2 linked regions of the Macaca mulatta genome follow. The protein of the gene in region 1 purifies or fractionates together with the protein of each later gene. This does not show direct contact. Links are inferred from orthologs where the notes say so. Each region holds a gene or a part of one and is shown on either strand. Other genes may lie near its edges. The genes, in order: LRFN4 and NCK2.

What was found.
Region 2: the proteins of LRFN4 (region 1) and NCK2 purify together in Homo sapiens (co-immunoprecipitation; 3 studies listed by BioGRID and IntAct, counting the BioPlex papers as one, with this or other methods). This does not show direct contact. The link is inferred for Macaca mulatta from reciprocal best matches to the Homo sapiens genes LRFN4 and NCK2.

The regions. Positions count from the first base shown.
Region 1 is NC_133419.1:7,545,830-7,550,410, reverse strand, and holds LRFN4 (leucine-rich repeat and fibronectin type-III domain-containing protein 4), read left to right. Parts: upstream 1-1,562; intron 1,563-1,700; 5' UTR 1,701-1,710; coding exon 1,711-3,059; intron 3,060-3,600; coding exon 3,601-4,159; 3' UTR 4,160-4,441; downstream 4,442-4,581. Other genes in the region: uncharacterized protein LOC144334105, read right to left, coding at 123-1,460. UniProt on the Homo sapiens protein: Promotes neurite outgrowth in hippocampal neurons. May play a role in redistributing DLG4 to the cell periphery.
Region 2 is NC_133418.1:13,841,788-13,846,083, forward strand, and holds the start of NCK2 (cytoplasmic protein NCK2), read left to right. Parts: upstream 1-1,485; 5' UTR 1,486-1,712; intron 1,713-4,296. UniProt on the Homo sapiens protein: Adapter protein which associates with tyrosine-phosphorylated growth factor receptors or their cellular substrates. Maintains low levels of EIF2S1 phosphorylation by promoting its dephosphorylation by PP1.

The sequences.
Region 1 (4,581 bases):
GTTTCCCAACTGGCCAGACCGCTGGTGGTGGCGGGCAGCTGGAAGGAGACCAGGCTCGCCGAGCCACCCAAGCCCCCCAAGCCCCAGCTTTCTCCACCAGGAAGCAAGGAACCTCCCCCACCTCACGCCGGGAGCCCTTTCTCTGAGCCGAGCTGGTTCCGAGCCGCTCTTCCAGGAAAATGGCCCGGCGGGGACAGAGCGGGAAGGAGGGGCTGAAGGCGCTGCGAGGACGCACAGCTTCCCACTGCGTGCCCCCGGCCGTTGCGAAGCCGCGCCGCGCAGACCAATCCGGCCCGAGGCGGAGGCCGGTTGGCTCGGAACGCCTGGCCGGCGGGGCGGGCGGGGCAGCTGGGGAGGGAGGGAGAGGCAGCAGAGACAGGGCGGGGCGGCGGGGGCGGGGCGCCTGCCCAGAGGCCGAGCCCTCTCGGCCCCACCCCGCAGCAGCCTTGCCAGTGGGGCCGCCCCAGCCCCCCCACGGCCGAACCCCGTGCCGGTTGGGGACCCTCCACGTGACTCGGTGATGCAGAACGGTTATGACCTTCAGCGTGTGTCTGTGAACGCGAGGGTCCCAGCAACAGTGCGGGTTTGCGCTCGGCCCTGCCCGTGGGTGCAGGGACGTGTGGGTGTGTGGGCATGTGTGGGTGTGCTGGGGAGGGTGCCCAGCGACATGTGACAAAGACTCCCGTCTTCGGGAGATGGTGAAGGGGTCCGCGAGCAGGCGCTTTGTCTGGCTGGCTGCAGAGTGAGGTTCGCGCCGCGGCGGCGGGCGCCCGTGCGGTGCAGGATGCCGGGGCGCCAGGGTGGCCGGGGGCGCGCGCGCCTGTGCCAGGGTGAGTGCGCTGCGGCAGCGCCGGGGGGCAGCGCGGCGGGCCCGCGCCGGCCTGGGCCTCGGGCGTGACTGGGTGCCACCCGTGGGCGCTGCAGCAGCCGCGTGTCCCCGTGACCTCAGGAGCCGGCCCGGGCCCGGGTGGATCCCCGCGCGCCCCTCCCCGTCCGCCCTCCACGTGCGTGTCCACGGCGCGCGCGCCCGCCGGCGCGCACCCGCTCGCCTGTCGCCGCCGCCACCGCGAACCGCGCTGGGAAAAGGTGCCGGGAACCGAGCGAGCCGGGGCCGCGGGCCCGAGCGCCATGGGCCCGAGGGTGGGCGGCGGGCGGCCGGTCATCCCCGGGCCTCGCCCCCGCGGGAGAGCGGCCAGGAGTCGGCGGGGGCCGGCCGGGCTCGCAGGGAGGCCGGCCCGCGCCCCCTGAGCGACGGACACCAGGTGAGGGGGCCGCCGGGCGCAGCGCGGGGGCCGGCCTGGGTGGGGACACGGACTCCACGGGAGGTTCGGGGGGCGCCTTCTCTGGCGGGGGAGGGGATGGCGCGGAGGGGGGAGGGGACTGGCGATTCCTGGGAACGCCTGGGAAAGGAAGTTCCGGGACCCTCCCTGCTCTCCGTCCTCCTCCGCTTCCTGCCTCATGTCTCACCTTGTGCCCAGCCCCTGGACTCCCCCTTAACTGCTTGGGAAATGTGACCTTTGCTCTGGGGGGCCTGGCCCTGCAGGCCCCAACCTTCCCTCATCCCTGGCGGCCCTCTTGGGCCTCTGACCCAGCCCCTCCCCGGGCCAGGCTCACAGAAGCTGGCTTCTGGGACTGTCCTGGGCCCAAGTGGGCACCTGCGCCAGCCCCACCTGTGCCCGGGCTGTGGCCCTTCCCTACAGGGCACTCACCATGGCCCCGCCGCTCCTGCTGCTGCTGCTGGCCAGTGGAGCGGCCGCCTGCCCGCTGCCCTGCGTCTGCCAGAACCTGTCCGAGTCGCTCAGCACCCTTTGTGCCCACCGAGGCCTGCTGTTTGTGCCGCCCAACGTGGACCGGCGCACAGTGGAGCTGCGACTGGCTGACAACTTTATCCAGGCCCTGGGGCCCCCTGACTTCCGCAACATGACAGGGCTGGTGGACCTGACGTTGTCGCGTAATGCCATCACCCGCATTGGGGCCCGCGCCTTTGGGGACCTCGAGAGCCTTCGTTCCCTGCACCTGGATGGCAACAGGCTGGTGGAGCTGGGTACAGGCAGCCTTCGGGGCCCCGTCAACCTGCAGCACCTCATCCTCAGCGGCAACCAGCTGGGACGCATCGCGCCAGGAGCCTTTGACGACTTCCTCGAGAGCCTGGAGGACCTGGACCTGTCCTACAACAACCTCCGGCAGGTGCCCTGGGCCGGCATCGGCGCCATGCCTGCCCTGCACACCCTCAACCTGGACCATAACCTCATTGATGCACTGCCCCCAGGCGCCTTCGCCCAGCTCGGTCAGCTCTCCCGCCTGGACCTCACCTCCAACCGCCTGGCCACGCTGGCTCCGGATCCGCTCTTCTCTCGTGGGCGTGAGGCAGAGGCCTCTCCCGCCCCCCTGGTGCTGAGCTTCAGCGGGAACCCCCTGCACTGCAACTGTGAGCTGCTGTGGCTGCGGCGGCTGGCGCGGCCGGACGACCTGGAGACCTGCGCCTCCCCGCCCGGCCTGGCCGGCCGCTACTTCTGGGCAGTGCCTGAGGGCGAGTTCTCCTGCGAGCCGCCCCTCATTGCCCGCCACACGCAGCGCCTCTGGGTGCTGGAAGGCCAGCGGGCCACACTGCGGTGCCGGGCCCTGGGTGACCCCGCGCCCACCATGCACTGGGTTGGTCCTGATGACCGGTTGGTTGGCAACTCCTCCCGAGCCCGGGCTTTCCCCAACGGGACCTTAGAGATTGGGGTGACTGGCGCTGGGGATGCTGGGGGCTACACCTGCATCGCCACCAACCCTGCTGGTGAGGCCACGGCCCGAGTAGAACTGCGGGTCCTGGCCTTGCCCCACGGTGGGAACACCAGCGCTGAGGGGGGCCGCCCCGGGCCCTCGGACATCGCCGCCTCGGCTCGCACTGCTGCCGAGGGTGAGGGGACGCTGGAGTCTGAGCCAGCCGTGCAGGTGACGGAGGTGACCGCCACGTCAGGGTTGGTGAGCTGGGGTCCTGGGCGGCCAGCAGACCCAGTGTGGATGTTCCAAATCCAGTACAACAGCAGCGAGGATGAGACGCTCATCTACCGGTGAGAACATGCGCCCCACACCCGGCTGCACTCCTGGTGCCCTCCCTCCGCCCTCTGCTCCCCACAAGGCTTTGCTTTCGCTCCTCCTCTCTCTGGGGCTGAAAACCCCTCCCGGACCATGGCTGCTGGACTCTTGGAGGAGCAGTGGCCTGGCCTGGCTGCCTGAGGGGCTGGAGCTCAAGGGGTGGCAGGAGGACCCCACCCCATGAGATGTCCCAGGTGTCACTGAGCTGTGCAGGCCTCCTCCGGCAGCAGGTGGCGGTTGGGTCTGTTTGAAGCACATGGCCCGCGCCCGCACGCGTTATTTCTGCCCTGCTGGTGCCATCCCCCCACCCCATCCCCCTCGCTTGCCTGGGTCCTGTGCCAGTGCACACACCCATCTCCTGGCCACACTCTTGAGCCTGTTTGCCTTCCTGAGTAAATGCAAGAGCCCGAGTGGCCCCCGGGGGAGGGGTGTTTGAAGCTGGGAGCACGGGAGCGGGGAGGTGAGGATGGGGCTAGACCCCAGCCCCCAGCTCTGACCACCTGCCCTTGCCTGCAGGATAGTCCCAGCCTCCAGCCACCACTTCCTGCTGAAGCACCTGGTCCCCGGCGCTGACTATGACCTCTGCCTGCTGGCCTTGTCACCGGCCGCTGGGCCCTCCGACCTCACGGCCACCAGGCTGCTGGGCTGTGCCCATTTCTCCACGCTGCCAGCCTCACCCCTGTGCCACGCCCTGCAGGCCCACGTGCTGGGCGGGACCCTGACTGTGGCCGTGGGGGGTGTGCTGGTGGCTGCCTTACTGGTCTTCACTGTGGCCTTGCTGGTTCGGGGCCGGGGGGCTGGGAATGGCCGCCTCCCCCTCAAGCTCAGCCACGTCCAGTCCCAGACCAATGGAGGCCCCAGCCCCACACCCAAGGCCCACCCGCCACGGAGCCCCCCGCCCCGGCCGCAGCGCAGCTGCTCTCTGGACCTGGGAGACGCCGGGTGCTACGGTTACGCCAGGCGCCTGGGGGGAGCCTGGGCCCGACGGAGCCACTCTGTGCACGGAGGGCTGCTCGGGGCAGGGTGCCGGGGGGTAGGAGGCAGCGCCGAGCGGCTGGAAGAGAGTGTGGTGTGATGCACGGGCAGCTTCCTGTGTGCTCCAAGGGATGAGCCTCGTGGGGCAGAGGGCCCAGGGCGGCCACCTGGCCTGGGAGTCCCTCCCTGGTTTTTACTCTCGGTACCTCAGGCTCCCCTGTGTGCTTGGCGGGGCAGGGAGCCCTTTCCTCGGTTCTGGCCTCCAGACCAGAGTAAGGGGCAGGTCCCTCCAACAGGTGCTCACAGCCACCAAGGCAGGGGCTGCAGCCACCAATTGGGAGTCTTGTTTTTATTTATAATAAAATTGTTGGGGACACCTCAATGCTAGTCTCTGGTCTTGTCTGGCTAGGTCCCCCAAGACGGGAAGATGGGACACAGGCCAGTGGTAGCACACAGACAAGGGAGGGGCTACCGGGCCCTGTGGGGGCAGCCACAGCAGCCTCGGGCCTCCCGGCTTCCTGT
Region 2 (4,296 bases), on another chromosome or scaffold:
TTGTAAAGCTAGATATTAGTAACACGAGGCTTGCACAAAAGGATGAACTGAAGTAGCTTCTTTCACAGGATCAAAACAAGGAAAAGGGAGGCTGTCCTGATTCCCTGAGCTTGTACCTGATCCCTGCTCAGTGTACTGTGCCTTCTTCCACTTACTGAGCTATTGAGGGCTACCTACTGCCAGAGTCCTTCACATAGGAGGTAGGTAAATATTATCTCCCCATTTGACAGATGTTAGAAAGGCTAAGACCACCTGTGCAAGGTTACACAGTTCAGGAAGTCAACAAACACTCACCTGTCTGACTTCAAAGCTACACTGACTCTAGTTACCTGTCCTTGGGTACTTCCTTTCTGGAAGGAAGCAGATGACTGAATCAAATAATACTGCCTTGTAACCTTGGATAAATTATTATTGTCTTAATAGTAAGCAGAGACCAGCAGCCTAAGAAAGAATCTCATTAACATGGATGCAGGCTATCCTGCCAGGAAATCAGAATCATTTGAATATTAGGATTTCCTTTGGGAAACCATATGGGGAGGAGAAAAGACATCCGGATGCATGTGTCTGTGAAAGGGAAACTTGCGTCTTTCCCCTTGCTTTTGGGTTTTAATCTTCCAAGTTTGTTTATAGGCTAGCCACAACTTGAGGCTGGGTGAGCTGAACAGTCCCATCATTAGCGACACTCCTTCTAGGGGCACATTCGGGCAGCTCCTCTTCGGATCCTGTCCCCATGGGTGTGCAACCAGGATTCCACTGGCTGGGGCTGGCCTGGATGCCTGGGAGGCAACAGAGGTCGAGTTTCTTCTCCCTTTAGGAAGTGCCTCAGACAGGGATGATGGACTAAAAACGTGTCTGGTTGGGAAAGTAAATAGATGCAAGACAAATAAATAAAAATGCCCACAAGCAATTACAAGGAGGAAGTGACATTTTTATTTAAGTCACTTTTCTGATGGACACCAGGCCTGCTTAGCTGAGTGCCGTGGGAATGCTTCCGGGAGGGGGGCGGCTGCCCAGCAACTACAGCTTCGCGATAAGGACATCAAACAAACAAACAAGAGGACGCAAAGCCCACCCGGCAGGCATCCCAGGCTGGAAGTTGCAGCCTATGTTTTCACTCTCCTCCCCACCCACCCAGCCTGCCCCCCACCGCCCGCGCGCAATTTCGGGCGTGGGGACCCTTTCCTGTCCCCGGCGCCGGGCCAGTGCTGCGCCTCCAGAGCGGAGCGTCCCGCAGCCCCGCGCTATACCCGCGCCCGTACCGAGACCCGGGCGCGGAGCCTGGCGGCGCCGGGGGGCGCCCCAGGTGGGTCTCGGGTCCCCGCCCCGCCCCGCGTGCCCGGGCCTGGGCCGGCCCCTGGGCGGCGTCACGGCGCTGCCGGGGAGGAGCGCGGGAGGAGGAGGAAGAGCGCGGAGGAGGCGGGCGCTGCGCGCCGGGGGAGGGTCGCCGCCGCCGCCGCCGCCGCCGCCGCCGCCGCGGGGATCGTCAGGCCGGAGCCGCGCGGCCGAGCGGACGGCGGGCGGAGGGGAGGGCTCGGCTGCGGGGAGGCTCGCGGCGCCCGGGCCGGCGGGGTCCGCCCGGGCCGGCAGCGTCCGCCCGGCGGCGGGAGGAGGGAGCGGCGCAGACAAAGAGCGGCGCCTGGGCGGGCGCAGCGCGGCCGCCGCCCCGGGACCCGCGCCGCTGCCCTCCGGCTCCGCGGGCGGCCCACAGCGAGGTAAGCACGGCCAGGCGGGCGCGGGGAGGGGGCCACAAACTTGGGGTCGTTGGGCGGAGTTGGGAGCGCGGCGGGGCTCGTGGGCCGGGGTGCGCCCGGGAAGGGGCTGCGAGAGCGGGTCGCCTCCGCGCCCCACCGGTACTCTCGGCCCCGCCGCGGCCTGGGCGCCCCCGACTGTGGGCTGCCGGGCATCTCCCGGCTCGGCACCTTCCTGCCCGCCTTCCCATCCCCAACCCCCACCATCGCGGCCCGGCGCAGAGGCGGGGACGCCAGCCAAGGGCGCGGGCGGGGATCAGGGCAGGGGGCCCGGCGGCGGGGCCCGGGGACTGGAGACCCCCGGGTGCGCAGGCTGCGCCTGGCCTGCGGGCGGGCGGCTGGCACGGAGCTCGGGGCTAGCGTGGGACCGTGCGGTGGCCAGGGTCGCCAGGGCGCGTGTGCCGGGGAAGAATAGCCGCGGATCGCAGGGCCCCGGCGCAGGGACCGGGGAGGCCGCGATCGGCCGGGAGAACTTAACTGTGTTTATTACAACTATTTATGATCGCGCACAAAGCTGCTGTCACATCGCATAAAGGAGGTCTTCGCTTCGGCGAAGGGAGCTTTTGTGCCCGGCTTCAGGCTCTGCGCCCTGCCCCAGATTTACAGGACTCTTACAGCCACCTGAACCAAAGTTTCTCACAACCGCTCGGCCCTCTCGGTGTTTTTCAGGGCGATTTAATCACCCAGTGGTTTTGGAAAAATTTGATGTGTGAGTTTTAAGGCATGGACGGTAACTCCCTTATGAGCACAGTTAGCTTGGCATTGTGGGGAGGGGTTTAATTTGCAAAACGCTGTAATTTGTAGACAATAAGGATCTCTGTGAAGGTCTGCGCTGGATGCTAGGGGTCATTGGCTGGTGGACCCCAGGCACCTGACTTAAACTAGTTTTGTAGCAGCTTCAGGGACAAAGCCGAGCGGGCGTGGAGTCGTGTAGTCGGCCTTGGTCACTTCTCACAATTCAGGTTGGCAGATTCCTCTTTATTTGGCTTTGTTTATTTTGCCAACAGGTTTAAGGCCGCTTCTGCCAAGTTTGCATATGCATAATGGGATGAGCAGGCCCCAGTGTGGGCAGGAGGGGGCCTAAAATATCGCATGGGCCAGCTCCATCCCTCGACCCAGAAAGAAACCACCCTGAGAGGCCGGTGGGCGTGGCTTGGTGGGACCCACAGGTAGGGGAGTCCCTTCCTGGCCCAGGCCCAGTCCCCGCTTCTCGGAAGGGATTTTGTGTAGTAATGAAAGTGATTCAGGGTGTTTTTCATGCCTCTGTTTTAGATGTAGTTATCAAGTCTCAAAAGTGACGGAAAATGAAATTAACCTGGGCTGCTTTACCTTACCGAAACGGAACTGTGCTTGTGAACACTCCCTCAATTCACTTTCCAAGCTTCATAGATAAGCAGGTGAATTAGTAACAGGATTCAAGCCTATGCGAGTTTTATGTAAAGAGAATGGCGGTCATCGGACACGTGGAGAAGAAATTGACTTCACCTGGAGATTGGGCTAGACATGGAAGTTTTTTGATGTTTGGAACAGGGATTTCCTGAGAAGCAAGTGTTAACCTTGCTTGTGAAGAAGTGAACACAAGGGAAAATCCTACCTCAGTATATTCTCCCCTGGAGGTTGGTTAGATGTAGTTTTGATTGGAGAAGGTGGCGGAATCTTAGTGGTCTTCTGGTGGCTACTTGAGGCTGAAATGGAGAACTTTAGGCATAGGAAGCTGTGGAGGTGCCTGGCCCACTTCCTGTCCGGGAGGCCTCTCCTGGATTCTGAGCTTCTTTCCTGCTTCATAAACATTCAGGGGGATTGATCATGAAACACTGGATGAAATTGGGTCACAAATTACCATCAGGAAGAGTTGGCTGCTGCATAAGCCCCTCTGTCCACTTGTGGAGAAACTGACCCTGTTAACCGTGGGGCTCGCTGAAGGTGCCTTGCAGGTGGCTGTGCTCAGTTTTCAGGCTTTGTGTTTTGCTTAGGACGCGCTGCATACTTAAATCTTCTTCATCCCTGCTCTCTTTGACCCTGACATATTCCCAGGCTCTGTCATTTACATTTTGGGTTATTTAGCTTTTCCAACAAACAGCAGATCTTATGTACACAGTACTATATTTGAGAAATGCACTATCATCCATTTTAAATACACCGGAAATCTTCCTTGCATGTGCACAGACTGGATAACCTTTTAAAATACCCTAAGACTCCGCGAATGGCGCAGAATGTACTGGAGTCCTTTACTTGATCAGTTGAGCTAGCTTAATTTGCCCTGGCTAGAGCAGGCTGTGCTGCTCTATGGGACACCCATTTTTCTAACTGCTCGGACTGGCTTGCCATGTGCACTGGGGGAGACAAGGCTTGTGGAATTCATTCTCTGACATTAAAAATGAGGCTTAATGACAAGAGCCCAAAATTGCTTCCCGGAACTGCAGGGGAGGATGATGAGCGATGTTTGGGAAAACTGTTTTCACAAGTGAACTGGAAACTCCCCACAACTGACTTCAGAGGCTTAGGAAATTAGTTTTCCCATCCAGAGGGATGGCAAGTGGCACTTCCA